4 linked regions of the Diceros bicornis minor genome follow. The protein of the gene in region 1 binds, or shares a complex with, the protein of each later gene. Links are inferred from orthologs where the notes say so. Each region holds a gene or a part of one and is shown on either strand. Other genes may lie near its edges.

What was found.
Region 2: the proteins of S100B (region 1) and CAPZA2 are in contact, whole or in part, in a crystal structure (PDB 3RM1), measured with the Bos taurus proteins. The link is inferred for Diceros bicornis minor from reciprocal best matches to the Homo sapiens genes S100B and CAPZA2. Residues at the interface, in NP_001029727.1 of Bos taurus: Ile37, His43, Phe44, Leu45, Glu46, Ile48, Lys56, Val57, Thr60, Phe77, Met80, Ile81, Ala84, Cys85, Phe88; in NP_001013016.1 of Bos taurus: Thr267, Lys268, Ile269, Trp271, Ile274, Leu275.
Region 3: the proteins of S100B (region 1) and RPS6KA1 are in contact, whole or in part, in a crystal structure (PDB 5CSJ), measured with the Homo sapiens proteins. The link is inferred for Diceros bicornis minor from reciprocal best matches to the Homo sapiens genes S100B and RPS6KA1. Residues at the interface, in NP_006263.1 of Homo sapiens: Ser42, His43, Phe44, Leu45, Glu46, Ile48, Val53, Val57, Ala84; in NP_002944.2 of Homo sapiens: Ala697, Met698, Ala699, Ala700, Thr701, Ser703.
Region 4: the proteins of S100B (region 1) and CAPZA1 are in contact, whole or in part, in an NMR structure (PDB 1MQ1), measured with the Homo sapiens proteins. The link is inferred for Diceros bicornis minor from reciprocal best matches to the Homo sapiens genes S100B and CAPZA1. Residues at the interface, in NP_006263.1 of Homo sapiens: Glu46, Glu47, Lys49, Val53, Lys56, Val57, Thr60, Phe77, Met80, Val81, Ala84, Cys85, Glu87; in NP_006126.1 of Homo sapiens: Thr265, Arg266, Ile269, Asp270, Trp271, Asn272, Lys273, Ile274, Leu275.

Annotation. Positions count from the first base shown.
Region 1 is NC_080766.1:45,978,000-45,985,309, reverse strand, and holds S100B (protein S100-B), read left to right. Parts: upstream 1-4,132; coding exon 4,133-4,270; intron 4,271-6,946; coding exon 6,947-7,087; downstream 7,088-7,310. UniProt on the Homo sapiens protein: Small zinc- and- and calcium-binding protein that is highly expressed in astrocytes and constitutes one of the most abundant soluble proteins in brain.
Region 2 is NC_080742.1:67,796,445-67,804,094, forward strand, and holds the start of CAPZA2 (F-actin-capping protein subunit alpha-2), read left to right. Parts: upstream 1-4,583; 5' UTR 4,584-4,697; coding exon 4,698-4,736; intron 4,737-4,895; exon of another isoform or gene 4,896-5,159; intron 5,160-7,650. UniProt on the Homo sapiens protein: F-actin-capping proteins bind in a Ca(2+)-independent manner to the fast growing ends of actin filaments (barbed end) thereby blocking the exchange of subunits at these ends.
Region 3 is NC_080752.1:42,391,004-42,398,367, forward strand, and holds the start of RPS6KA1 (ribosomal protein S6 kinase alpha-1), read left to right. Parts: upstream 1-4,258; 5' UTR 4,259-4,377; coding exon 4,378-4,512; intron 4,513-5,377; coding exon 5,378-5,494; intron 5,495-5,760; coding exon 5,761-5,842; intron 5,843-7,364. UniProt on the Homo sapiens protein: Serine/threonine-protein kinase that acts downstream of ERK (MAPK1/ERK2 and MAPK3/ERK1) signaling and mediates mitogenic and stress-induced activation of the transcription factors CREB1, ETV1/ER81 and NR4A1/NUR77, regulates translation through RPS6 and EIF4B phosphorylation, and mediates cellular proliferation, survival, and differentiation by modulating mTOR signaling and repressing pro-apoptotic function of BAD and DAPK1.
Region 4 is NC_080743.1:45,382,271-45,389,632, reverse strand, and holds the start of CAPZA1 (F-actin-capping protein subunit alpha-1), read right to left. Parts: upstream 3,013-7,362; 5' UTR 2,888-3,012; coding exon 2,849-2,887; intron 1-2,848. Other genes in the region: ST7L (suppressor of tumorigenicity 7 protein-like), read left to right, coding at 3,636-3,843, 5,649-5,731. UniProt on the Homo sapiens protein: F-actin-capping proteins bind in a Ca(2+)-independent manner to the fast growing ends of actin filaments (barbed end) thereby blocking the exchange of subunits at these ends.

The sequences.
Region 1 (7,310 bases):
TCCAGATGGCAGGCCCCATGCTCAGGCATCCAGTGGTCAGATGAGTGGATTCCAAACTGCGTGAGCAGGCTGAAGCTTTTTTGTGAACCCTGAAGGGCAAACCCAGAGCCCAGGTTGCCGCGCAGGGGAGTGGTTAGGGTGCGCAGGAGCAGCGCTCCCTCAGACACAGTGCCTGGGCACCCAGCACACGGTTGCTCCTTCCTCAGATGTGGGAAGTTCTGCACTTCACAGAGCAAGCAGGTGTCTGACCCTTCACGAGACCACAGCCTTGGGGCAGCTGAGGAAATACAGCCAAACCACATCGCTCAGGTCCCACTCACGGGGGTGTGGGGACAGGCTCGGGGTCCAGGTGAGGACGACTCAAGCCCCGAGGCTCACAGCCCCATGCTATTTCCAGGGGACATTTCTGGGTGTTGAACAGTCATGAATTTCCTGGTAAAACAGATGACGACAAAACAACTGTATCCACAGACATCTTTGTGTTTTGATCGTTCCGTGGCCACTGTGACCTGAGTCAGCACAAGGGCCCTGATTCTGGTTTAGACGTCCTTTGATGAGTTTGGGGCAAATGCTTTTTGTATAATGAGTCTAGAGGAATGCCTACCATTTGAGTTTCTGCTTGGAAATAGCTTGGGTAGGGTACCACTGAAGACGGGGGGTGGGAAGTCTGTACTTGGCTTTCCTGTGGCTGGTTGTGGGGCCTCAGAGAGGGGCTCACCGCCTGTACCTGTCTATAACACACAGCATTTGGACAGGACATGTCTGGGGCACTGTCTAGGTCTGACAGTCTGTGACTGTTCACCCTGGGGTGAAGGAGGCCTTGGGGTGCACCTGGCACGTGCCTCAATCATATTAAATAAGGATTTTTCCCTAAAAGCATCAAGTTCCTACTTTGCCACACATTTCAGTTCCTGCAGATGTTGGGGTCAGCGGCTTCTCAAGGCAACCCTGCTTAGCTCAGAGTACTGATGTCCGCAGGGCGACCCGTCCGAGGGTGGGGGCCAGACCAGGGGAGAGAAGCTCAGGGCTTCTCCATTGGAAACTCTGTATTCAGAGTTTAATCCTCTGCGTTCATCCTGTACTTGGAAGCTTCATGTTCTTGGCCGCACATTTGCTTTGTCTGAATCAATTAATCCGTCTCTCTCCTCTCCCCACCTCCAACCTTGCCTTTAGAGGAACATCAATATTCGTGTATAAATTTAAAAATGGCACAAAAAGCTGACTCCCCACTTCCTGCCCCATGTGCAGTCCCGGCTCTCCAGCGAGTCCCTGGGTGGCCGTGGCAGTTGGTCAATGCAGCCCTGTGTGCAGGCCTGGCCGCCCCAGCCGCCCCCACCCCCACCCTCGGCCTCCATTGGCTGCCTCGGCCTGCAGTGGGACTGCACCGGCCTACGCCCCAACCGCCCAGGGAGCAAGGAATAAGAGGCTGCCTCTGCCCATCACTCTTGCCACTCCAGACTCTGCAGCCAGAGGTGACGAGGAGCAGCAACCAACAGCCACTGACGTGAGGACACTCAGGAAAACCTATTCTTTTCTTTTGGGGGCAGGGGATCAAGAGGGTGGGGTTGGGAATGGGGCAGTAGTTTAAAAAGTCCCCTTAGGGTAAATGGCAGCGTTTCAAAAGTGTGGATCTTATTACTGTTTTGTGGGCATGATCACCTCAACTCTAGGTAGCTAGAGATTCATTTGCCTATGTTTTTATTCCTATAAATCGGAGAAACCTCAGGTCTGGTGGCTCAGAGGTGACTGCTGACATTTCTCCAGAAGTACTACAAATAGTGCTTCTTAGAAATATTTTGCAATCTTTGCCCCTTGAAGAGCAGGGTTTTTGCTTCTCCCAGGGGCTGAGAATGACGGGCAACCTGACGCTAGTTTAGCCCTATCTCATAAAGCAACATAAAGCAATGTTTTCTCTTCTCGTGGCTTCTGCCCCAGCCCTTGGTATATACCTGCTTCTCGGTTTTCCAGTTTCCCTCAATGGGAAATGTCAGGGTCCCCCTGGACACCGCTCAGAAATTACATGACAACTGTACAGGTAAATTTACAAGTAAATTTACTATTTAAAAGTAAATTACAAAATGGGTCAAAGAAATTGGGGTTTATGGTGAGTTTAACTTTCCTTAGTCTTACAATTTCTCAGGGAAGTAGGACCCTTTCCTTAGAGGGGACCCTCACATCATGTGTGATGTGTCCCTCTAAGGAGTTAAAGCCCAAAAGTTCTCTTGTTTTTCATATAAAAAGATTAATGCAGAATATTCACAGAATGAAGTGAAAAGGAAACATGGATATTTGATTTATATTTTTCTTAAAAGATAAGCTTTAAACCATCAATTGTTTCTCAAAAGGGAGAATCTAATAGGAAAAAATTTTCCTAATTAACTTGTAGTGTGGTTATGAAGAAAATCACATTTTATGGAGTTTTCGAACATATAGACTATATGTTTTATGCCTTGCCTTTAAAAAAATCCCAGTAGGCATTCTTCATGAAAAATTAGTTTAACCTCCCCTTCCCCAAATCATCACAGACTTTGAGAAGCATCAGGATGATACAAAAGTTTCTCGGGTTTTTTGTTTTGTTACTTAAAAACAAAAAAATCAATAATTGAAAACTTGAGTGCAAAGGATAAGAAGGTATGACCTATTAAAGATTTTAATCCATCTGAATTGTTGTATCTACAAGTGATACATCTGATTTTTAGGGACTTGAGAGCAATACTGATTACTAATAGAGTAAATTTAGCAACGATCAGGCCAAGACAAACATTCTCAATCCTTTTTCCCTTAGGAAATCAGAAATAAGTAAAATTTTAAATATTTTATTCCAGTTTATTTTTAAGATGTGACATATTCAACATGGGAATGATTTTTCAACAATCAGATGTAATTTTTTTTATTATTTTTAACTACGGCAGTGCAAAGATTCTTTAATGATTAGAACTCAAGGCCAAAAGTTGGTAAATTTCTCTGGCTGAGTATCTCAGTTTTAAGAGATAACTGACAAGCCATCCTGTCTAAGATGTGCCTAATTCCCAGGATTAAACAGATATTTCCTCAGTTTGCAGGCTGTGGTATAAGATACATGCTGTGAGGGAAGTAGGAAGTTTCTTACGTTGGCAACTGCAAAGAAACACTTATTCCAGCATTTGTGCGGCCACATCAGTGAACAGGCGACACTCCCCTTGCGCACCAGAGGCAGCTCTTGCGTGAATGCTAAACACCCGCCTGTGGCTCATCTTCCTGCCGCGTTTGCCTAGTCTGCCCCAGAACCAGCTTGATCCCATCACCTGATGACACATTTTTGTTTCCAGTAGGTCAAGGTACCTTTCATTGATCTTCTTTTTCAAAAACATGTGTGGCAATTCTGCTGTATTTATTTTTCCAGCTGAATTTTACAGCTGCTTTGTGGTCATGTTCCTCACCCATCAAAAAAAATCCCATAAATATTTTTATTAAAAATGAGCTAAATTTATGTATTAATTCAAAGGAAAGCAAGTTCCTACATTTTATGATCCTTAGAATCTTTTTGAAGGACCTGCACTTTTCTTGCTAAACTTATTCTTAAGTGATATGTGTGTTGCTATATGAATAGGATTTTTCTACTATGTTTTCTAGTTGTTTACTGATAGAATACAGGAACACTATTGATTTTTGTATTCTCGTTTGGCTCCTAGTCACCTTCTTTCTCATTAATTCTAACGGCTTGCAGTCGACGCTTTGCTCAACCACGCTCTGTCACTCGTCTTGGAGCCCTGCAAGGGCAGAAGGTCGCCAACTGGGGAAGAAGGAGGACTCTAGCCCTGAACTCCCTCACTGTTCTGCCTCTGTATTTTTCCTGAAGTTTCCCATTGGCCAAACCCAACTGGAAGCCAGAGGGCATGGGAACTTATCAGTGGGGCCCACAGGGACAGAGAAGAGAGGAGAGGGTGGGAGAGTGGGTCTAAGAGGCAGACGGGAGAATTGTGACAACTGTGCAAGCTCCCAGAGTGCCCTTCTCTAAGCCTGAAAGAAGATGAGCCAAGGCCGGTCTAGCCCCCTCCTCTGGGTTGAGGTCTGTTTAGATAACACTTTAACTGTTCTATATACAAACAAGGCAGAAGCATGAGAAGACATTTTTCCTTTGTGGCCCCCTAGGATGTCTGAGCTGGAGAAGGCCATGGTGGCCCTCATTGATGTTTTCCATCAATATTCCGGAAGGGAGGGCGACAAGCACAAGCTGAAGAAATCTGAACTCAAGGAGCTCATCAACAATGAGCTTTCCCATTTTTTAGAGGTGAGCCTTGCTTTTTAAAATCAACAGTCTAGCCATTCTCCTCTCCACTTATAAAACCACCTGTACACTTTCTCTTCTGAGCTGCCCTGAGGTGATTCCAGTTCCATTTCAGGACTACTAGGTTTCTTCTGAAAAGTTGTTTTCACAACTGAACCCTCATTATGGAGACTAGCTTAGATGGGCCCCACTGTTTTCATTTTCATCTGTTTTGTGTATAGTAGAAGCATCAAGGAAAAACTGCTGTCTCAAAAGTTCCAAATAATGCTGACTTTTCTCTGAAAAAAGAAATCTGAGGATTTACAGCAATAATGATGGCAGAATGGGATGGAAAATATATTTTCATGACTTATCAAGGGCCATAGTGAACATATAAGCAAGTTGTTATAAATAAGCTTTTGTTTTTGGGAAAAGGACCATTTTGGCTAGATGTTTAGCATGCACCATGCTGATAGAAGATGCCATTCACTCAGCCAAAGTTTACTGAGCACTCACTATGTTCAATACTGGGAGAGACACAGGCCTGAAGCCACGGCCTCTGCTTCTGGGGCACCCAGCCAGGCACATCAGTGAAGGGCCACAACCTACTTGCCTGAGGGCACGAGAGAGGCCCCTGCATCCTTTGGGGGCCCTGAGGCCTTGCAGGGGGCTCCCTGGAGTGAGGACGTTGGAGAAGAGTCGTCTTCAGTTTGAGACCCTAACTTAGGAAGCTGCATGAGGGCCCCCGATGAGCCCTGTCACTCTCCAGGCAGTTCCTGCTCTGGCCTGTGGTGGGAGTACGTCCAGACACCTCATGGAGGACTCACTTCCCTACCCACCGTCTCCACTGCCCTCAGATCAGCCACCCAGCATCCCTACTGCATACCAGTCTTGTGCCTTTGAGGCAAAGAACTGCAGTCCACCTGGCACCTGACCTTCCCTTAGTGCCCAGAACCAAGGTCATTGAAGGGACCAATCACACACAGGGGAAATGGCCAGACAATGAACCAGTGCACTAGTGTCTGACCAAGAGCTACTTCTGGGGAAGATACCAGAGCACCAGGCAGGGCCCTGCTGCACAGTGATGGGGAGCCGCCCTCCTGACCTAGCCGAGCCTCTCTGCACAGGACAAGCCCCAGGTTCCAGCAGCAAGGCAGCACCCGTCGTCTGCAAGGCTGGCTGGGGTTCTCCTGTCCCTACTCCCACCCAAACACTCCGTTGCTGTCAATGGCACTGCCAGAGCAGAGGAAGCAGCCTGGAGGCTTGAAAGGGGTTGGTGTCCTCTAGTTTGATTCTGGGACTGGTTTTCTCAGGCATCCAAGTTCAGAGTGGCAGCTGCCCCACTCACACATTCAGTTATCTAGTCCCAACAATTCTGCCTTCCACTTAACAACCAAAAAGTTCCAGTTTCTGGGGCCGGCCTGGTGGCATAGTGGTTAAGTTTGCACACTCCACTTTGGCGGCCTGGGGTTCGAGGGCCTGGATCCCAGTCGTGGACCTACACACCACTCATCAAACCATGCTGTGGCGTTGTCCCATATACAAAACAGAGGAAGATTGGCACAGATGTTAGCTCAGGGAGAATCTTCCTCATCAAAAAAAAAGTTCCAGTTTCTTCTGTAAAAAGGATTGTTGTAAGGATGAAACAAGACAGTGTTTGTTAAATGCTTAACATATAGTGAAAGCATAACAAGTAGTAGCTACTATTATTAACTATTGACTTTAAAACATAAAAAAAGCTTAGCATGTGGGAACCACAATTTATAAAAGAGAAAGAATTCATGGTCAGTGTATCAAGATATCATGAACATTTGTTGGCCTCATTTTATCAAGGTAATTTCGGTTTGGAGGCAAATCTATAATGTATTGAAATTAATGCACTGCTCCCAACCACCGTTCAGCAGATGTTTATAGGGCCCAGCGCAACCCCCACTGGAATCTCAATCTTTCATATGTTTTATACTCAAGGCAGCAATTGTACATTTTACTTGACTTCTTTGGGCCAAGATCTCCTGCCCTAGGGATTAGTTATTCTGAGCAATCCGCATTTATGCTCTTCTTCAGTGTTCAGTGCCACATTCTTTCCACCACATTTGTAGCCCTGCACTGTGTTTGCTCCTCTGAGCCTTTGTGACACCATTCTCTTGGCTTCACTGTTGGACAAGAGAACTGTCAGGAAAAGTTCCATGCCCTATAAGGTAACTCAACAGGCAAAAAGAACACAAGGAGTTAACAAATTTAGGACATGTTCCCAAGAGTTATTTCAGCCAAAAAACACTTTCAAAACATGAAAATCCACTGGAAGCCTTCACTATAGGAACTTCCACACACAGAAACAATGAAAACCTTAGGGGGGCCAAAAGTTCATTTTTTCTTTCAAGACATTTTCATATAATATGCCCATGCGGATCTAGACTGTAGTCTTCTTTTCCAGGTGTTTTGTTTAAAGTACAGTGATAACAACCTGCAGTTTTTCAGGTCTTGGTTGTTCCATACAGTCTTTTTAAATAGCCCAGACCCCCAGAGGGTTCTGCCTGGCCAACAGTCCCTGGTCACAGGAGAAATCTTTTCTGGCATTTTGTATTGTACATCTTGGATTGTTTCTGATACAAATTATGAAAGCCAGCCAACTTTTAATCATGTTTTGATGTCCTTAAATTTCCTTTAAAAATAAGCTGGGCAATTTCTCTTATCTCTCAGGAAATCAAAGAGCAGGAGGTTGTCGACAAAGTCATGGAAACATTGGACAACGATGGAGATGGTGAATGTGACTTCCAGGAATTTATGGCCTTCGTCGCCATGGTTACCACTGCCTGCCACGAGTTCTTTGAACACCAGTGAACTAAAGAAAGCAGCCAAGCTGTTCCTGTAACAGAGATGAAGGTCACTAAAGGAAGCAGAGAGCAAGGGCTTGCAGGCTAGTAGGAGCCGAGCTTTCCAGCGCGTTGTAGCTAATTAGGAAGCTTGATTTGCTTTGTGAATGAAAAATTGAAAATCTCTTTCCAAGGGCTGTTTTTAATGGCCCCCATCATTATTTCTGCTATATTAGGCATATGTGTTAGCT
Region 2 (7,650 bases), on another chromosome or scaffold:
TATTATAATATGATGATTACAGCTAACATTTGTTGAGACCTTTGCCAAGGCCTGCAATGAGTTCTAAGCACTTTGTCTGCACCATGTCATTAAATCCTCACAACAGTCCTATGAGGGAGGTACCATTATTATCCCCAATGTATAGATGAAGAAACCGAAGTTTCCAGAGCAAGTTGCCCAAGTTACCTAGAGCTGGAACCAAGATCAAGACCCAGGACTTACTGATTATAAAATCTGTACACTTCACCACTAAGGTACGTGGCTAAAATACATGGAAAACTTTCTATGGGAATCTAGAAGAAGAAATTACTAGCTTTAACTAGAGGGTTCAATGCAGGTTGCGTGGAAAAAGGGATAACTGAACTGAATTTTAAAAAATAGGCAGCAAAGAACATTTCAGAAAGAGCTGCCACAGAGGCATGAGAGACGGTGATGCATAGGTAAGTTGCTTTGTGTGTTTCAGTGACATGTGCATTTGGGGCAGTGGCAGAGATGGGTTTTGATGAGGTTGGTAGCAACCAAATTATGAAGGACAGCATATTCAGGAGAGAGGAGTTACTGAAAAACAAGTTTCTTCAATAATTTCTTGGTAGTTGTAGAATGATCCATGTCAGGCTTCTCCAGGGGTGCCACTTTGTGGACCTTTTCAAATCCAGCTAAGGAAACAGACTACAGGTAGGACACACTCAACTACAAGTAACCAATAGTTTAGGCAATTATTTGATTTAGAAAAACAATTACTTTAAAAATATGCATGGTTTCTGACACTTTTTTACTGTCATAAAGAATATTATTTGAGACCTATTGTGTTCATTGATTATGAGACACTAACAAACAACAAAATATTAGTTGTCTAACACAGGTAGTTTTTCTTAGAAGTGAGGTAAGCCACACTTCAAACTACAGATATTAGTTTTCCAGTGCAGAGATTAAATGATATGGTGTTTTGGAAGTCTACATCTGGTGTAAACATTTAGTGGTCAGTCATATGTACTGAATATTTATCTTATTATACATTATATAATTAATATATATATGTATAAAATAATGGAAAGAACATGAATCTGACCATAGGGACACTTGGGTTCTAAAATAATATCAGCTAGATGTGCAATTTTTATCAAATCATTTAATTTATCTAAGGCTCAACTTACTTGTAAAATGAGGAGATTGTACTAGATGGACTCTAAGATTGTGATTCTATGAAATTAGGTACCTCTGACCTTGACAAGACTAAAATCTAGTTAAGGACATAGAGCACATCCATAGGAAAATAGATTAAGAAGTATACAAGTAACTTAAATACTACAAAAAGAAGAACTTTAAAAAAAAATCATTTTCTGGTGCAGTTAATTGGAAAAGCCAAGATTACATCACTAGTAAGCATAAGAAAGGTGAATTTGTGGGGCCGGCCTGGTGGCATAGTGGTTAAGTTCGAGCGTTCTTCTTCGGCGGCCCAGGTTTCACAAGTTCGGATCCCAGGTGCAGAACTACCCACCGCTTATCAAGCCATGCTGTGGCAGGCGTTCCACATATAAGTAACCAATAAAGTAGAGGAAGATGGGCACGGATGTTAGCCCAGAGCCAATCTTCCTCAGGAAAAAGAGGAGGATTGGCAACAGATGTTAGCTCAGTGTTAATCATCCTCACCACCCCACCCCCCAAAAATAGGTGAACTTGGGAATTAAATGAGAAAAGGGTAGAAATTCTCATTGAGGAGGTAGAGTTGTGTGTGAGAAGCATATTTTGTTTCTTTTCTCTTCATCATAAAACAACTGATTATCAAGAATACCAATACATTTCTAATTGCAGTCATATAATGGTCATTCCATATTTATACCCATTTCGCGTGACAGCTTGAAATCTTCCCAGAATTCCTAGGTTACGTGAATTCTATAATTTCTTTGAACTGTATCAAGAAAGTGGCATTGGGAGGTTTTTGAAATGATTATCAGAAATTATACAAAATTGCTAGTTGTGTCACCATGGGGAACCACATGTAAAGTATCACCAAGGTTACGATTATAAACATAGTCTGACTCAACTTACTGCAAACATACCATATTTGGGTGAGGTTTCTAGAAGAAGACAGCAGCCAATTAGTCAAGCAACAACATTTACTGAGTACCCACTGTGTACAAATTATTGATGTTCGTGTTGCTGAGTAAACAGAAATCAAAAAACAGAAGAAGAAAAAAAGGGAGTACTGTTGATGCAAGAGGTGGTGGTGAGTAGAACTGATGGGATGGAAGAGAAATCACCCTCATTAATTTTTTTTTTTTTTAATTTTTTTTCCCCCCCAAAGCCCCAGTAGATAGTTGTATGTCATAGCTGCACATCCTTCTAGTTGCTGTATGTGGGACGCAGCCTCAGCATGGCTGGAGAAGCGGTGTGTCAGTGCGCGCCCAGGATCCGAACCTGGGCCGCCAGCAGCGGAGCGCGTGCACTTAACCGCTAAGCCATGGGGCCGGCCCATCATTCAGTTTTATTTGGTGGGAGAGCGCCTAGAATTTAGATAGGGAGAAAGAAAGATCTCCAAGTAAAAAGGACAAGAGATATAGAATAAAATGCCTGGATTCCAATCTCTACTCAGTTAATTAGGAGCTGCGCAATCTTGGACAAATATTTAACCTCAGTTTGGCTCCTGTAAAATGGGTATAGTAATGCCGATAAATACCTTACTTCACGAGGTTGCAGTGAGAAATCAATGAAGTAATGACTTGTAAACTGTAAAAGAGTAAACAAGTTATTTATTTACATCCAGTGAGGTCCTTGGCCAAACTGTATGGTTTATTCTCTGTCACGTCTTCTCTGTACCATTTATCCTCAACAGGACACCTGCTTTTCCCTGCATGTGTCAGCAAGCTTCCCCTTTCTGTTGTCTCCCCAAATGGACTATGAGCTTTTCAATAGCATGGCTTCTGTTTGCATTCCATGCAGAAGAAACAATGATTTGCACACCATGAACACTCAGTAAATTACTTAATAACAGTGTTTTGCATATGAATAGTTATTTCAGCTCTCTAAGGTACTCTCACAAGTGTCATTTACATGCAGTTGTCAGATTCATCTTGCTAGACATATTTGTCACTGTTCAAAAGTTGTCAACAGCTTCTCATTTTCTACTGAATAAAGTCTTTTTTTAATATATATATATTTTTATTGAGATATAATTGACATATAATATTGTATTAGTTTTGGGTATACAACATAATGATTAAAGTCTTAACTTCTATCTAAACTCTAAGGCCTTGCTACTCAAAGTGTGGTCTCCAGACCAGTAGCATTGGCATCACCTGGGAGCTTGTAAATCTGATAAATGCAGATTCTCCAGCCCCATCCCAGACCTACTGAATCAGCAACTGCATTTTTTTGTGTGTGAGGAAGATCAGCCCTGAGCTAACATCCATGCCAATCCTCCTCTTTTTTTTGCTGAGGAAGACCGGCCCTGAGCTAACATCTATTGCCAATCCTCCTCCTTTTTTCTTTTTCCCCTTATTCTCCCCAAAGCCCTAGTAGATAGTTGTATGTCATAGTTGCACATCCTTCTAGTTGCTGTATGTGGGATGCCGCCTCAACGTGGCCAGAGAAGCAGTGCGTCGGTGCCCGCCCAGGATCCGAACCCAGGCCGCCAGTAGCAGAGCGCGAGCACTTAACCGTGAAGCCACGGCAGGCGCCAGCAACTGCATTTTAAAAATATTCCTAGCCAATTCATATATACAGTTTTGACTACATCTTCACTCTCTTGCTAAACTTGAAGCTTCAGAAGCTTTCAGATACAGCAAATAAAAGCAGTAGATATCCAATAAAAACTGAGAACAATGAATAATTTTTTAGTATCTCTCAAGTGCTTCATGGGACATACTTATACTTAAAATATATATTGTTTATTTGAAATTCAAATTTTACTGGACTTCCTGTATTTAATCTGTCAACCCTATTCAGAAGGGTAGGATCCATGTCTAACATAATTTTGTATTTCCCTGCAATCGTACTGTGCCTTCCCCAACTGCTCGATATATGTTTGTTTAAGGAATAGACAACCAGCTTAAGAACTGAGGTTTCTCCGGTTTTTGCTTAGCATTGTATATCTCCAGAGACACACAATAAATGACCAACAAATACTTCTCCAATGAATAAATGAATATACCCAGAACGATCTTCCAATTATGGACTGGGTTGGAGTGCATATTTTAATGAAAGCTGAATATTCTTCTAGTAATTTTTTTAAAACCAGAATGTTTAAAAAGCTTCTATTTGTACACTTTTTCACATTTTAGCTGGCAGAGTTCAGGACTTGATGGGAACATAATCAAGGGCTCAGAATGTACTCGTTGCCGACTGGGTCCATATGGTCACTGGTGGGGAAAGAATCCTATATTACTCAGGAGGATGACAGGCCTCCAGCAGGCTGCCGGAGGCGACTCCTCCGCCCTGCCCCCTCCCCACTCCCCCTCGCTCTGCCCCTTCTTCCTCCCCCGCCTCCGAGGCGCCCGCGCACGCGCACAGCCGCGCTCCAGCCCCGCGGGCCAGACGGAGGGAGGCGGGGCTCCCGGGGCGCGTGCGCGGCGGCCTGGGCTGTGGGCCCCTCCCTTGGCGGGGGCGCGCGGCGCGAAGGACTGCACGGAAAGGGGGAAGTCAGGTGGCCGGTGCCGCCGCCGCCGCCGCCGCCGCCGCGGTTTGTCGCCAGAAGGAAAATGGCGGATCTGGAGGAGCAGTTGTCTGATGAGGAGAAGGTAAGAGCCGCGGGGGCGGCGGAGCCCGTCGGTCCGGAAGCGAGCAGAGCCCTGGCGTATCAGCTCGGAATCTGGCCCCTGGGGAAGGGCATTGGTCTGTGCCCTCGCCCGCCTTTCCTCCTCCTCTCCTCGGTGCGCCCAAGTGCCTGCCCCCGTCAGTCACCCCAGGCCCCGCGCGGGGGCAGGTCTCTGCCCGGCCTGCTCGCTTCGCTCCTTGTAGGGTGTGTGCTCCGAAAATAGGAAGCGAGAGCGGGGCGGCGGCGCCTGGCGCGGCGGGCGGGGGCGGGGGGCGCCGAGGGCGGCGGCTGCGGGGACCCTCTGCCTCCGCCTGGGCCCCGGGGCGTTGCGCCCGCGTCTGGGGACTGCGGACGGGTTTGGGTCCCGGCCTGGGAGCGGCCCAAGGGCAGTGCCCAGCCCGACGGCCTGGCGGGCGAGTGTAGCCGGGGTGAGGGGTAGGGGGAAAAAATCGCTTAGGAAGCAGACCTTCACTTATCCCTTCTACTCCCTCCTCCCAGAAGCAAAATCCTTCCTTTCTTGGTTCTCTACGCTTTTTTTCCTTTCCCCGTGGAAGTCTCTCTCTCTCTCTCTTTTTTCCCTCTTTTCTTTTTTTCGGCTTTAGCTGTAGGCTTTGCAGTTCCCATGTTCCCCTGGAGGCAGTGGAGTTGCTCACAAAAGACCCCCCCCCCCCATAGTAGTTGTTTCCTGCTCAGGTTGGCATTTGGTGGCGTCCCATCGTCCTGCTGGGACTTCTTCCGAAGACGGGAGATTGTGCAACTCCTTTTTACTGTATCTTAGATGCTGTGACAGCATTAGAACCAGATGAACGACTTAAGTTCTTAAGTTTTCAGGCATTTAAAGCAAGAAATCTGATGATCGAACTAGTTCTCTTTAATTCGTCGTTTCCTTTGGCTACTGTGAGGCCCTATTCCATAGTGAGGGGGTGTAGACCCTACTAATTTTGAGTAGTTCCTGGAAGGGACCTTGACATTTCTCAGACTCAGAAGTAACTTATTCATAACTATCTATGAATAAGATAGTTTTGGAAGTGTCCGTTCTTAATTTAACAGTGTTCGTTTTTCGAAGTTCCAAAGCAGTACTGCCATGTATGGAGCACAAACACATCATAGTGTTTAAGAAATCCTAATGTAAGCCTAAGAATATTTTCAGTTGAAACTCTCTGCCCTAAGTGTTTTTATATCCTGTGTTCTTGCACTGGAGTGTAATGTTCAATCTCCTTCCCAATGTGATTGTGCAGCAATGAGCCTCGTCTCAGTTTTGGAAATCTTTTTTTTTTTCTTCTTCTTTTGCCCTTGCTTCTGGTGAAATTGATAATAAAACGACAAAATGGGGAGAGCAGCAAGATTCTCCATAATCCACAGCCCTGGTAGGCAGATCCCTGTATACACGAAAGTTACCTTGTAGCCTTGACATTGGTGAATAACCCTAGGTTGGTAACTGAAGATGTACGCAGGCTCGCACACGCGTATTTAAAATTAACTACTGCTAAAAAGTTTTTTAAAGAGATTGTCCTGTTATATTCTGCTGTTTTTAAGTGGTGGTTAGTAGCTCAAGTGGCTAGAAATCTAGCTGAGAAGAGAGTACTCAGTGTGGGAGTTAATATAGAGCTGCCATGTGTTGTAAAGGCCTAAAATAGCAAAGTTTTTTCAAAATGATATGGCAAGATTCCTTATCCAGCACTCTCAGGGCACTAAGCTCCATGAAGGTGGTAGTGCTGGGGGTGTCTTATTCTCTAAGCTTACCCAACACAGTGTTTTAAGAGTGAATAAATGAAAATTCTAATTTGAAAGAATTTGGTGTTTTTGTTTTTATTTATTTCAAGTTTTGTAAGACTATTCTGTAGATATTTTAAAGATAGATTTCATTGCTATATTTAGTAATTTAAGAAAAATACTGACCAAACTTTTGGGTTACATTCAAGTAACTGGTTAGGTGAAATTCTAATACTCTCATCACTTTAGTTATCTAAATGTACTTTTAATCTTTTGGGAGGAGGATGTTGGGTATGAAATCAGAAATAGGATTTAAAAGTGATATTTTTAAACTAATATTTGAATCATGTTACTCTTTCTGCCACCTTGTTTGTAATTTTCAAAAGTAAGCTTTTAATACTTCTACGCTCTTGGAATTTCCATTATTGGTTGCAGATCTAAGGAAGGGAAGCTGTTAAGACTTATGTAGTACCATACTTTGTATATGCCTGGCTCAGTTAGGCAATACATTTGTTAATTTATTGTGCGTTTGAGGTAGGTTTTATTATTACCATTTACAGGTAAGTAAAATAAGGTTTCAAAAGCTTAAAGTAATTCACCTGAGGACACCTAAGTAGGAAGTGGCAGAAGTGATATTTATTTATTTATTTTTTTGTGAGGAAGATCAACCCTGAGCTAACATCCATGCTAATCCTCCTCTTTTTGCTGAGGAAGACCGGCTCTGAGCTAACATCTATTGCCAATCCTCCTCCTTTTTTTTTCCCCCCTCCAAAGCCCCAGTAGATAGTTGTATGTCACAGTTGCACATCCTTCTGCTTGCTGTATGTGGGACGTGGCCTTAGCATGGCGGGAGAAGCGGTGTGTCGGTGTGGGCCCGGGATCCGAACCCCGGGCCGCCAGTAGCGGAGCGCTGAGCACCCAACCACTAAGCCACGGGGCCGGCCCCCAGAGGTGGTATTTAAACCTGAGTTTGAATCCAAAGTTGATGCTGTTGTGACATTACGCTCCCATAAACAGTTGATAATAGGACCCTCTTCTGGGTTTCTCTTTGTTTTTAATTTATTGACAGCTTATTTGAAAAAGGAAAAACAATATTTCTTTTTGTTTTTAAAAAAAATTTAAATACCAAACATCAAATCGTGTCGGGTTCTAAATTTAATTTGTGTTTTGATCATTTTAGAACA
Region 3 (7,364 bases), on another chromosome or scaffold:
TTCCTGTTTATGAAACCCTGATCCCTCCCGGATCCCTCATGCTCCCCTGGCTGGAGCTCAGGCAGGATGTGACTGTGGACTTGGGGGAGCCTTGGGAGCCTCAGGTGTTGGGGGGAACTTCCCTTGGACTGGCCAGGGCAGGGTAGCCCACCCTCGCAGCACCTGGGACCCTGTGGCTGGGCTCTGTCCCTTCAGCCTGCCCTGCAGAGACCCCGAAGCAGTAAGACTGTCCATCTAATCCAGGAAGAAGTTCTGTTTACAATGTCCCTTTGTCTCTGTGGCCCATTTTGCTTCCAGAAACAACCTTCTTAGAGTGAAACATCTCATTTTAACCTCTATCTTACAGAGGAGGAAACTGAGGCTCAGACAGGGAAAGAGATTGGCCTGGGAGCACTCAGCTAGTGGGTAGCCAGTTCTTGACTTCCCGCCCTGCCCTCTTGGCCTCAAGCCTCTTGTTCACGCTGGTCTCTCTCTACATGGAGTGTCTTTTTTCCTCCTTTCTGCCTGGCCAAGTCCTGTTCATCCTCAGGGTCCAGCTGGACTGCCTCTGCCCTGGAAGGTCTTCCCAGCCCTCACCCCAGGCAGATAGTTACCGGCTCTGGGCACCCTTAGCACCTTGACTGCAGCTCTGTCTGGGGACAGTTGTGTTTTGTTATCGTGTATTTATTTTCAAGAGCTGCCTAAGGACAGGGCCCCAGTCTGCCTTAACATGTGCGCCTCCTAGTGTCTGGCTCCTGGCCTGGGGACAGAGCAGGGGCCCAGTAGCTGTGAGTGATGTCCAGAGGGGAGGCAGGCTGGCCAGCCTTGCTGAGAGGGTGATAATGCAGTGCTTGAGAGTGTAAGCTTTGGAAGCAAACAGACTTTGATTTTGCTCTTAGTTTTCCCCCTTTCTAGCCACATGGCCTTGGGCAAGTCACTTTCTCTCTGAGTCTAGTTTCCTCATCTCTGAAATGGGATGACAGCACCTCCCTTGGAGCTAAGACATAGAGCCTAGCAGAATGCACACCAGCAAAGGTTGAAGGAAAGAATGGCCTCGTGCAATAAATGCTCAATTATTAGGAGGCACACTTCTTGCTGCCACTCCATGCCAGTCCTAACCTAGTGCCTGAGGCCAGCTTCCCCGTCAAGGATGCTTGGGAACTGTGGACCCCTCCTCACCTGCCCAGAGGCGTGCTGGGAGACGCGTCTGGGGACATCTGCCCCACCAGAGGGGGCAGCGCCTGGGAGGCCCTGCGGATGCTGCCAGCTGGAGAAGGGGCTGTTGGTGTCCGTTAGGGCTGGAGGTTGGCAGGTGGGTTTGGGCTGCAGCTGGTAGAGGGAGGCCCAGGGTGGGGACCCTACGGACCAGGGATCAGGCTGGGGGGCTCTGGGCTTCTCTCCCAGCTGCCTTGTGGGAGGAAGTAAATAAGAGGAAGTATCTATGGGGGGAATGGGGCAAGGGACCAAGGGATGTGGTCTGATATCTGTCCTCCCCCACCACTGCCACCAGAGGCCTCACAGGCCCTGCACATACCCTTCAGCGAAGGCAGCTCTGAGACTGTTTCCTTCCTGTTGCCCCTTCCTGTACCCTGCTAGCCACAGAGTCTTCCTTTGCTTCTGAAGGACTTGAGGGTTGGAGGTTCAGCTGGCGCTGGACCAGAGAGCTTTGGGGCTCCAAGGGCTGCCCCAGCCTCCACACCCCTGACTGAAGAAGCTGGGGTGCAATAATAGGCCTCAGTCTAAGGAGGCATCTTTCACAACCCCCGGCAGACCATCATCAGTCTGTTATTGGAGGCCCTGTGAGGACATGAAGGGGAAGTCCATGTGTACGTGGGGGCGTGTGTTTCCACATAGAGGATGTCTGTGGAAATGGTTTCCGATCATCAGCCTGTGTGTATTTGTGTGTGTGTCAGTTCCTGTGGTGTACGGGTGTGAATGATATGGCAAGACCACGTGGAAGGGGGCTGGGCCTGGTCAACCCCTGTCCCATGGCTACCTGCTCCTCCTCAGTCCTCTGTGAGGTCCTTGCTAGGGCCTTCTTCCCCCTTGCCCATCCCAGGGCCCTGGACTGGCAGGCTTCTTCGGGGTAGGGCTGGGTGTGGTGGTGCCTGCTCTGTGGGCTGCCATTTTGGGTGGGCCCAGCTACGGGAAGGTCACTACAGGGGAAGGAGTGTCTACACTTTGGGCTGGGGCAGTCAGAGACTGTGGCCTTGCTTACTTGCTGACATCCCCACATTCTCTCAGGGAATCTTTGCAGGTGTTGGGATGCCCACTGTGTCACCGCCTCATCGCCTTGTGACTTCTTTCTGGGTTCTGGTCTTCTCTCTTTAGGATCAGAGGAGATGAGGAAGGGTGTGTCCCTGGGCCCCCTCTGGAGTCATGGGCTTGGGGTCTGCGGTGTCCCTTCCTCAGCAGGGGAGCCTGACCCATCTTTGTCCCTCCTCCCTGCAGAGGGGGAAGTGAGAAGGAGGGGGTCAGCGACCCTGCCTTCTGGGCCGGGAAGGCTGAAAAAGCAGAAGTAAGGGGAGTAACGGGGCCCTCTGGCCACCGGCTTGAGCCCCACCATGCAGACCCCGGCAGATTTCCCCAGGGTTGAGAGAGACTCACTTCCCTGTCTCAGAAAGGTGAGCAGAGGGTTGGCCTGCCTCCAGTGGTGTCTGTCACCATGACTCTGGGCAAGGAAGGGGTTTAGGGGTGGCTCTGTCCCCTGGGGTTTCCGGATGACTGCCTTTGTCCCCAGGGAGTGTTTTCAGTCAGAGGCAGACAGATAGGTGGAGGCTCAGAGCTCAGGGTGGGGTGGGCAGGGGTTGCTGTGTGGCTTTGGCCCACCTCAGTCCCTCTCTGAGCCAGGCTTCCTGCGTGTCCTGCCCGGGGTTACACTCAGGGGCTTGATTAGCCTGCAGCTTTTGGTGGCTGCAGCTGTTGTGGCTATTCAGGGTCCCCTGAAGATGGGGCTGTGTCTCTGAGGGTCAAGACCTGGAATGGGAAGTCCCCAGACTGACCCTGGTACTGAGGGAGGGGGTGGGCTTGGATGGGCAGGACATGGCTCTGGCTCACTTACCTGCCCACCCTTTCCTGGCACTTGAGTCCTGCTGACCCCAGGCCAGGCGGTAACCAGGGGAAGGACTTGGGTTCAAGCCGGCTCTGCCACTGGTTCCCTTTGAGCCTGGGTGAGTCACTGTCCTCTGGGCCTCAGTTTCCTGTTCCTGAAATGAGGGTAACAGCTTTTGGGATATTTATATCAGAGTGAAAGCCATCAGATTGCACTCAGGAGATGTCCTTCTCAGCCCACTGTCCTAGTCCTGGGCCCTCCTCAGGCCCTGGCGTGGGAAGAAAATCCCAGAGAAATGGAAGGCCTCAGAGATGGGTCTGCCACAAAGACTGGGCTGTTCTCTCAACTGCTGGGGGTTTGCAAGTGATTCCCTCTCACCTCTTTCCCCACCCTGAGGCAGACCAGCAAGAACCTGGAGCTCTGCCCTTGAGTCCAGGGTCTGATTTTCTATGTATCTGTGTGTCTTTCCTGCCTGTGTGGCTGCCCTGGGTGTCTGTCCATCTACTTGGGCCTCACGGACTCTAGCTGTCTCTGTCTGCTGCCCACCTGCCTCTGTTGTTGAGTGCCTGTCTCTGTCTCCACTTGATGAGTGCCTGTCTTCACCTGTTGGGTACATGTGACATGTTGAGTGCCTGTTGGGTCATGTCCCCTTCTGTCTCCACCTGTTGAGTGTGTGTCCCCATCTGTCCACCTGTTGGATGCAAGCCCGCATCTGCCTGTGCCTATTGGGTCCCCATCTGTCTCTGCCTGTTGGGTCCATGTCCCCATCTATCTTTGCCTGTTGGATATGTGTCCCCATCTGCCTCTGCATGTTAGGTGTGAGTCTCTGTCTACCTCTGCCTGTTGGGTGTGAGTCCCCTCCTGCCTCCACTTGTTGGATACATGTCCCCATCTGTTTCCACCTGTTGGATATGTGTTCCTCCTACCTCTGCCTGTTGGATGCCTGCCTTCATCTGTCTTTACCTGTTGGGGGCCTGCCTCTGCCTGTTGGATATCCCTCTTTATCTGCCTCTACATATTAGGTGCCTGTCTCTGCCTGTTGGGTACCCATCTACTCCTTAGCAGCTGGGTTGTCCTGGGGCTTTCCCTTTGCAGGCCCACAGGGAAGATGAGGGGGAGGGCCAGAGGGCAGCCCTCAGGCAATGGGGAGGGGGGAAGAGAGAGGAAGGGAACGTGGTGAGGGTGTAGGCCTGGAGCTGGGAAACCACAGGCCCTGAGTGATTGGCGGCCCTGAGCCTGGCCCAACCCCCGCCTTCACCCTGCACATCCGCCTTGGGCCTGGCCACCTCCGCGGCAGCCCAGGACGCTGCCTGCTCCTGCCATGGTGCCTTGGCCCTGCCGGGCGGATGGAGCAGGATCCCAAGCCGCCCCGTCTGCGGCTCTGGGCCCTGCTCCCCTGGCTACCCAGGAAGCAGCGGCCCAGGACCAGCCAGACCTCTCTGCCTGCCCCTGGCCCTGGCTCTGGCCCCAGGCGGGACTCGGTGAGTGCGTCCAGATGTCTGGTCCTGGCCTGGCTGTGGCCCTTGGAGCAGGTGTCTGGGCAGCCAGGTTGGCCTCAGCTGGCTTTGGGCTCTCTTAGCCCAGGCTTGGCCCTGCTGGGTGACTGGACTCTGCCCAGACTTGCTTCCCTGGGAAGTGAGGAGGGAACCAGGGCTCTGGGGCAATCTTGGCAGATTGGAGGGAGAGCACAGGGGTCCTAGAACAACTAGGCCCTGGCAAGGGGTTTCTAGTAGACTTGTATGAAGGAAGTTTCAGAGGGTGGCGGCGTGGAGCCTCTGGCCTTAGCTTCCTACTTGCCCCAAACTGGCACTTACTGGGTTGGTGGGGAGTCTCAGGTGACTCTTGGGTCCTTATGCATCTCAGCCCTGTTCTTCTGACCAGAGGGATCCGATCATCCATCCTGACCAGGAGCAAAAGCCCAACTCTGCCTCCCCAGTGTGAGAACAAACCCTACTTCCTATTGTGGCAAAACCAAAATCTTTGCAGCAGGGGGAGGGGTGCCCCACAGGGAGGACCTGGGGCAGGTCTGTGGGCCTCAGCCAGAGCCTGGGGTTGGCTCAGCCCGGCTTGCCTGGGCATCTCTTTGGGCCTGACCAGGCCAGAGCAGCAGAAGCAATAGGAGCAGTGCCTCACCTGACCTGGCATCTTGGTAGTTTGACCCTCCCCGGCCTTTGAGGCCCTTTTGTCTTGATGAACCCAGAGTCTGGCTCTGTCAGGGTAGCTGTCTGGTTGGGCCTGGAGGGCCCAGTCTGCTGAGGTCCAGTGGGAGTGGACTTGGATGGGGGGACATGCCCAATTCTGGCCTGGATGGGAGAACTGTGCCCACCATCTCTATCCCTCCATCAGGATGAGGGCATCCTCAAGGAGATCTCCATCACGCACCATGTCAAGGCTGGCTCTGAGAAGGCCGACCCATCCCATTTTGAGCTGCTCAAGGTTCTGGGCCAGGGATCCTTTGGCAAAGTGAGTCTTGAGCCCACAGCTGGGAGGGCAGCACTGGTTGTGTCAGAGGTGGGGGTAAGGAGTCACGTTGGGGCTCAAAGGATCAGAGGGCAAGGGTTGATGGATCTGAGAGAAGGATGAGAGGTCACCTTGGTACCCAAGGAGGGCAAAAGGTCAACTTGGGGCTCAGGGAAGTTAGAGGTCAGCGTGGGATCTGGAGGATGGGAGCTGATGGCCTCAGCCCCATCCCCAGCTTCTCCTCTGCTTTTTCCTGGCTGCCTTTTCAGGTCTTCCTGGTGCGGAAGGTCACCCGGCCTGACAGTGGGCACCTGTATGCCATGAAGGTACTAAAGAAGGCAACGCTGAAAGGTGAGTGGAGGACACCTCCCAATGCAGAGCCCAGGCTGGGTACGGGATTGAGGAGACAGCCCAGCTCTCAAGGGCCCTGGGTCTGATGGAGGAGATCGCTCTATCCCCAGGAGCGCTGGGTAGAAAAACAGGCCTGTTCTCAGCCGCCCCTTACCCCCCACCCCAACTGATCGCAAAGACAGGATCCTGCAAGCCAGGTGCCAATGACCGTAGCTGAAGGTGAATGTCTAGAGGGAGGTGGGATGAGTGCAGTGTGTTTATGGTGAGGCCTTCAAATATGAGGCATCAGATTGGTTGGGCAGAGGCCTTCTGTCAGCAGAGTTGCTTCACAGTGCTAGAAGAGCCTGAGGGAGACCTCTCAGGGTGGAGAAGGGCAGGAGGGAAGAGGCAGGGAGCTCGGGGAAGCAGCTGGGTGGGTAGGAGAGGGTGAGTCAAGGCATTGCCACGGAGATGGATGGCAGAGAGGTTCAGAAGGGAGCCCGAGCCCAGGTCTAGAATTCTAGTACTTACAAAGGGCATGAGGGTGATTGGTAGTGGGCTTTGGGCTGGGCAGGGACTCTTTGACCAGCCTGGGAACCAGTGCGACCACTTACCAAGTGGAGTGGGCCCTAGCTGGGGTGAGGTGGGTAGAATCAGAAGGGTTGGCTTTGGGGACATTAGGGGTCATATGGCCCATGAAGGGCTATCTGTGGGGGTAATGTAGCTTTGGTGCCCCAAGGCTGGCCTGATAGGGGTGATAGTCATTCCTCAGGAGGGATGGTGGGAGCCACGGGGGAGAAGAAAGATGAAAAGGCTTGGTCCCTGCTGTGAAGGGCTCCCAGGCTGTTCGGGAGAGGCTGAGCAGACCCTGGGAGTCTGAGAGGCTGTGCAGTCGGCACTTGGGACCCAGGAGCCCCGGGGAGGGTGGGTGGCAGCCTCACAGCGAGCAGGCTCACATAAGGAGTAGCCATTTGAACTGTTCCTTGAAGGATGCATTAGGAGCTTTCCAGATTGAAAATGGTGGAAGGGTACCCCAGGAAGGAGGAACTGTTTACCTAAGCAAAAGCATAGGGACGGTTTGAAAATGTAAGGTGTATTTAGGAAACAGTGACTGGAATAGTTAACTCCAGCATGGTCCCTGCCATGGCTGGTGAGAGAAATAAAAAATTAAAATAGAGGGTGAAAGGTACTCTGCAGGGGGAAGCACAGCGTGGTAGGAGAGAGGGCCGTGACTCAGCTTGGCAGGTTAAGGAAGACTTCTTGGAGGAGGTGAGGCCTGAATTGAGTCAAAGAAGAACGTGCTGATGATCAGAATTGCCTAGGGACTTTTATTCTTAAAAAAAATTAAGTATGTGGGAGGTGCCATGAGTCTGATTTTTAGGCCCAGGGAATCTGCCTTTCTAACTAGCTCCCCAAGTGACTGTTCTCACCAGCCCCCAGACTGGAAATGGGGGGTTTTATGCCAGATGGAGAGGGGCCCGGTAAAGGCATCCCAGGGGGAGTCACAGGGGCACAGGCTGAGGGCACACAGAGGAATAGATTG
Region 4 (7,362 bases), on another chromosome or scaffold:
CCATTTTGGTCTTGTTAAGCATTTGCAATCAAGTAACTGAAGAGTCTAAGTAACCAGAGGAGTACAGCTCATTCTCAGAAACTGAACTTGAGGACAAGACTAAAAGCATTTATTTCTGCAACTTATTACACTTTCAACTTCCTGTTTTATTTAGGCAGCTCATCATGACCATTTCAGGTAACAGTGCAGAAGTTAACAAACCCAACTTCCTCTTTACAAAGTGATAAAAACTTCAGCAGTAGTTATGAGAATGGTTGATCTTATTAGCTTTTATAGAAAACACTTGCAAGGAAATCAGAGCCCATCACCACCAAATTCACCTCTGGGTTCACTGCTTTCAGAAAATGTAACAAAGATAAAAAGCAGCACTAAAATATATTCAGCATCATGACACACATGCCATAAAAAATAAATAAATAAATCGAATGCACTTGAGGTCTTAGCTAAAAAGAGGAAAAAAAATGGAAACTAGAGTTCCTTCAAGGAAGAATCAATACAAACTAAGGCTGAAAATACCTTGTTTGTAATAGTGTCTCAGTTGTGAAGGTTTTCTAGGCCAAGAATCTCATTTAAGGATTATTTATTGTTTCTGAATGCTAAGATATTCACATCAAGAAATCTTGTTGGAAAAATTTCTCAATTCTCGAATTCAGTTAAAAGGAATCAGGAGTCTGGAGGAAAAGGGGGCAAAGCAGGTATGAAGCTGAAGGAGAATTAAAGTAATCTTACAAGTCAAAGCTCTTTCTTTTTACTTACAGATTCACAACAGAGAAATACAGATGGGTTTCATCTCTGTCTGGGAATAAGAATCTAACAAAATTTCAGTAATCTCAAATCATATAGATTTATTATACAAGATTTTTACTGTATCAGCTATTCTCATTATCCACAGTAATGAAGACAATGTGGTTAATCTAAAAACTGTTTACTGAATATGAAATTCATCAGTATTTTTTGGCAGTAGATTTACCTTACTAATTATGATTTGCTTGCTATGTCATTATTACAATTAAACCACAAAAAGAAGTATGCTGGGAGACAAGAGGAAACTGGTCACAGATCTTCTGTTATAAAATCAAGACTATTAAGTATTAATTTAAACACTGTTAATATCCAAAGACATCTTAATTTGCACTTTGAAATACAGATATATTTCCCAAAGTTTAATTAAAAGGGCATTCTAACCTGGTGTCAAAGACAAAACTCAACAGCACTGGTAAATGTAGTATCGCTCAGGCACAATAAACTCCTAAGTTTATTGTTATTTAAATTCTTAGTGAAATATTGTTGTAATATTTTTGCTTAAAATAAGTGGACCATCAGTTGGGCTAAAAAATGTTTTATTATCCCATGATCTTCACTGTAATTTAATTTCATCTGAATCAAAACAATTTGCCTTAGAATAAGCATTTTATTCTAGATTTTTCTCCAGCATAAGTTCATATTTAAGATGCCTTTTCCCCCCTAATCTTATACATCTATGAGAATTTCCAAGACAGAGAAAATCTAATGCTAAAGTGTCGTTCACTGGCCTGTGAGTGTTTGGCACATTCTTCAGCATTTCAAAATGGCATGCCATATGCAGGTGTGATGTATCAAATTATTCTGTACAGAGAACTCACGGATCATAAACAGTTCCCTCCTACACCTCAATCTCTTTTATTAAAAAAAGAATGAGCTCAGATACATTTACAGAGAACTCAAGGGGGCACATTTTGTAATAGCCACCGTGGAAACAAAAGACATAATTCTTGTCCTATAACAAGTCGTCTAGTGAAAGCATTCTAATTTCTACAGGCCCCGAAATCATGTATTTACCGAAAAGCCTGACAAACTGTTAAGTGTGCAGTTGTCAGAAAAAAAGTTATTCCACCTAAGGTAGAATATGCTTTTGTATTTAAGACACTTTTTAAGAACTAAGTATACAAATCACACACTGGCAAATTCAACTATAATCAGACACCACAGTGGAGCATCAAAGAAGGCACAATGCTTTGTCCAGACCTGAATGTGTTAACATAAGGTGTGTGCTATATACAAAGCCTTTCTGGAGTTTTAAAAGAAAATCCGTTGGCTATTCTTGATTTGTTAACAAGAAATCGAAAACTATTTTTCAAAAATTATGTTGAGGATGTAAGCCGCAGTGGATGGAGTCGCCGCGGGGGCCGTACGTACACACATACAATCAAGGGAGTGTCTGCGGGGAAAAGAGTGGTGTTCAAATTCTGAAGCAAATGTCCTGGGGCTTACACATTTATCACTGCGAATTAGTTCAGCCGATAGCATGTGAGAAAAGAGGTGGATGTGTGGAGAGGCGGACAACACATGGGGACCTTTCCCTGTCGAGGAGTCGTGACAGCAAAATCACTTCCTGAGGAAGGAGGAGCAAAAGGGAAGTTAAGAGGCCACCCTGACCAGGAAGTGACTTGCTCTAAACTAGTCTCAATCATATCTAAAAATGGGGGGATGGGGTGAGCCCCAAAAGCTAAAGGCGGGTAAAATAACTGCTTCCTGATACGTCGCGACATCACCATCGCCCCCTCTCTTAATTACAGAAAAGAGTCCACAGTTACTATTCAATAAGGGAAAGTCTCTTCTGCAGGAAGGCCACTGGGCTGTGCCTCAGGCCCCGGAGGAAAAGCAGAGAGTTGAGGAATGGGGAACTGGAGCCACCGTGAGGCAAAGGAAAGCCCCTCAAGAGGGAAGCGTCCCGACTGCGGAGAGCGTATGCCAGCACGGGCCAAAAAGCTTCTTTCTCCTGGGGACGCTGCCAGGGTTCCCACTGCGGCCAGGTCGGGCCCCTGTTTCCTGTCGCGGGACCAGGTAAGAGAAGATGCGGACCCCTTACCTTCTCCTCATCCGACACCCGATCGTCGAAGTCGGCCATCTTGGGCTGCTCTGGCACAGCCCGGCCCCGGCGCGAGGCAGGCCGGGAAGAAAGCCGAGTGATGGAATCACCGCGGGGGCCGTCGGAAGGACCAGCCCGGAAACGCCGACCGAGAGGGCGCCATGTCAGTTACGGGCGGGGGTGATGGCTTCGGGCGCTAGCGCCCCAGGAAGTCGGCTTTGCCTGAAAGGATTTTAAGTCTAGTATCTTTCTCACTGAGTTACGTTCATTTCCCCATTCGTCTATAGGACGCTGGGAGCGTGTTTCGACTGTTCTTGGCGCCCGAGCTCCATCCGACCAAATAGCAGTTGCTACTTCTATGGGTTTTCCCAGTACCAGTGATCTCTATGACAGCCGAGTCCAAAGGGCTAAGTGCTGCTCGGCCCCTCGAACGATCGGTGGATTTTCCAACCCCAGGAATGGGGTGAAAGGTGATCCTCACTCGTAGGGAAGCAAAAACACTTCATTCTGGGGTCACATCGTAGGGAAGCAAAAACACTTCATTCTGGGGTCACATGTCAGTCCAGTTCCTCCAGAATAGGTGCTGCTATTCGCCCCTTCCCGCCCTTCGAAGGAGGAGGTAGCCCCACTCCTGGCGCGTTCCTCCACTTGCCAAAGCTCAGTCCCCGTGCCCTGGAACTTTCAGCCTTCACAGAGACCGACTTCAGGTCCGCCACTATCCCAGGATTCCCGACTCCCAGTTTCCTGCCCTCCCCTCCCAGCTCCCGGCGTCTGAGGGAGCGGCAAGATGGCGGACGGTGACGGCCTGGGTGAAGCCGCGACTACTGCGGCCTCTTCTCCTGTACCTACTCCCGGCCTGAGCCCGCCGCTGGGCTGGAGGGAGCGGCTGCGGGCAGGGCTGGCAGGGACTGGGGCCTCGCTGTGGTTCGTGGCGGGGCTGGGGCTGCTTTATGCTCTGAGAGTCCCGCTGAGGCTGTGTGAGAATTTGGCAGCGGGTGAGAGGCCCAGACTTCCCCGGGGACGGGCGGCAGGGCCAGGAGAGGTGCCGGGGACAAAGGCCAAAGGGCAGAGATTCTCAGTAGTCACTGGAGGGCCTCGGAGCATGAGTCGGTGGTCCGCGACCAAGTGGGTTCTTTTCTCCTGGGTCAGAACCCCGCAGCTGATTGTCAAACCTGAGCTGCTGCTACCGGCTCCTCCCAAGAGCTCTTAAGATCCGCCCTCTGTCTTCTGTCCTCGTTTACCCGAGGAAAAGCCACCTGACAAGCTGTAAGCTTCAGGTGGTAGGACAGATGAGAGCATTTTCAGACTTGGATGCAGGATTTATATACACCCGCACCGTTGGTAGGATCCCTTAAAAATCATTTCTTTGAGTCTCCCGCTGCTCAGCTGCGAGTACCCACACCCAGACAACAAAGACGAGCGCTTCTGTAATTCAAAGATCTAAAAGAAAGAAAATGATCTTAGCCAACCATTCTCATGTTTTAAAATAGTTCTGTCAAGAAACAGTTTTCGTGATATCTTTGTCTGTTCTTTGTTTTAGGCTTTATCTTTAGTAATAAAATAGAACAGTGCAGGAAGAGAAAGAGAGCCACGAACAGCAGTGGGTTCTTTTCTTAGTTCTTTCCACATTTTTAGAGAGCTTGCTATGTAGTCTGGCCTGAAGATACAAAGACGTGTAAGAAGTGATGATCCCCGTGGATTCAGCAAATATTGTCCTTTAGCTAGAGCCAGGACTAAGTGGATGGGAGCCAGCGCCTCTTACCCTGTCATTACAATATTTCAACTCAAGCTCTGAGCAGCAACCTCAGACCAAGATGAAAGTATTTCTGTTATGTGATGACTGTGAACTATCAGTACTGTGGTTTATTTTTCTGTAGAAAGAAAAGGCAAATGTCCCCTTTTCTTTTCCTTGACATGATGTGAAAGACTGAGATAATGTTCTGAAATATTTTAGACTTTTTAGAACATAGGTACTATGTAAATTCAGATATAATTAGCACACTAAAACAAGCTAAATGAATTGTTCTTCTTAGACTGTTTGAAGGAGCTAATTTGGTGTCTGTAACAGGTTAATGAAGTGCTTACTAGTGGTTTGTATGCTCAGTGAAATGTTATTCATTGAGTTTATCATTTATTTTTCTGTGTGTTAACTAGGTAACACTGTTTAGATGAGAGTAGTTGACTATTATAGATTTTTATTTCTTTCTAAAACCAAAAGTATTTATGAGACAATTATTTGAAGAATCTGGTCCAGGCTTTCAGTGAGTCAGGTGCAGGGAGCTCTCAGTTTGTTGCTGTTATCTTTGGTCTGTTTTGCCTCTCAAGCTGACATATCAAATACATACACTGTTTCCCTCCTTCTAATTTGAAAGGCAGGTTTGTGTCTCACCAAATCGTGAGGGAGTGGTTTTAAACCTTTGTAACAGGATGTTTATTTAGCTTATCCTTATAGATTTGTAAAAGTTCTTGTCTAAATTATGCTTTATAAGTTCTTAGTTTTATTCTCAAAAACAAGCTAAATTATCTCATTTTGATTTGCTTATTTAACAAATCAACAGTGTAAAATTCTATGCTTACATGTGTGAAGGCATTTTTAAGATATGATACAGTGGGAATTTAGCTTTTTAAATTTACAAAATTAAAATTTAAAAAATTAAAATTTACAACTTTCTCAAATGAATCTCATACCAGATATTAATACTACTCGTGTTCCTTCACTCATAAAGATACCTACATATTTGTAACTTGAGTACTTTGAATTTGCACTTTTTTAAACTGATTTTTTTTTTCCTTTTGGCAGTGACAGTATTTTTAAATTCATTGACACCCAAATTCTATGTGGCCCTTACAGGGACATCTTCTTTGATATCAGGACTAATATTTGTAAGTAGTTTCCATTTCTTTCATGCTTTGGTGTTTATCTAAAGATCAGATCTTTTTATATGGCTACAGTAATTATGAATACTTATAGATCAGTATGCTCAAAATGTGTTCAGTATTTGAAAAAACATTGCATCTTCCTCCCACTTTTAGAAATTGGCAGTATTTATTTGCATGTAAAAGACTACTATATATGGTAGGGGGCAGGGGCTGGGAGGTGAGTTGTGAGCTAAATACCTGCAGGGCCCAGCTTGGTAACAAAAATGAGTGAAATGGACAGAGTGTAAGAATTAAATTCCTTATTTGAGGACTGGGTAATCTGGACAGTGCATGCTCCTTCTAGAAGACACTAAAGCTAATTGTTGCCATTTAGACTTGCAGACCAGTATTACCAGATCTTCCAATTCTTTAAAAGATTTCAAGAGAACCTTATTATACAAGTTTTTATATAAGATCTCCCAGTACTTTAATGTGAGCAGTATTGGGCAGACTAAAAATTTATCTCTGTCTTGAATTCAGCCAATAGGCTGCCAGTTATCTTCTCTGGAGTGCTTTTTTGTGTGTGTGAGGAAGATCAGCCCTGAGCTAACGTCCATGCCAATCCTCCTCTTTTTGCTGAGGAAGACCGGCCCTGAGCTAACATCTATTGCCAATCCTCCTCCTTTTTTTCCCTTTTTCTCCCCAAAGCCCCACTAGATAGTTGTATGTCATAGTTGCACATCCTTCTTAGTTGCTGTATGTGGGACACCACCTCAGCATGGCCGGCCAAGCAGTGTGTCGGAACTTGCCCAGGATCCGAACCCGGGCCGCCAGTAGCGGAGCCCACACACTTAACTGCTAAGCCATGGGGCCGGCCCCTCTCTGGAGTGTTTAAGAGCAGGGTTTTGAAGCCAGGCTAACTGTCACTTTAGTTGCATGCCTTTGAGCAAGTTAACTTTTCTAAACCCTGATTTCCTCATCTGTAAACTGAGGATAATAATAGTATCAACTTCATAGGATTATGAGGACTGAATGAGATGATATGTGTAAAAGCTTGCAGCAACATGGGAGCTAGCTCAGAGTGAAGGCTTAATGAATTTTGGCCATTGTTATTCTGAGAAGTCCCACAATAAAGAAACCTGTTTAACTTTTTTGTGTGTGTGTGAGGTAGACTAGCCTTGAGCTAACATCCGATGCCAATCCTCCTCTTTTTTTGCTGATGAAGATTGGCCCTGGGCTAACATCTGTGCCCGTCTTCCTCTAGTTTATATGGGACGCCACCACAGCATGGCTTGACAAGTCGTGCGTTGGTGTGCGCCCCAGATCCGAACCTGCGAACCCCGGGCCGCCGAAGCAGAGCGCGCGCACTTAACCGCTGCACCACCCAGCTGGCCCCGAAACCTGTTTAACTTTAATTCACCTTTTCCTTGTCTTATTTGACTAAGCTATCATTTTTAATTAAAACATTTTTTTAAATTTTATATTCTCTAGTAACGTCCCTAGGAAATAGTGTTTCCTAGCATAAACTTTGTAAAAATACTGCTGCAGATAAAAATCTTAGAAAGTATTATGGCATACATGGCCAATGAATTTTTCTGTACTTTTTTCTCATCTCTAGGTGGTGCTCTCCAACTATAGTAAAAATAATGACATTT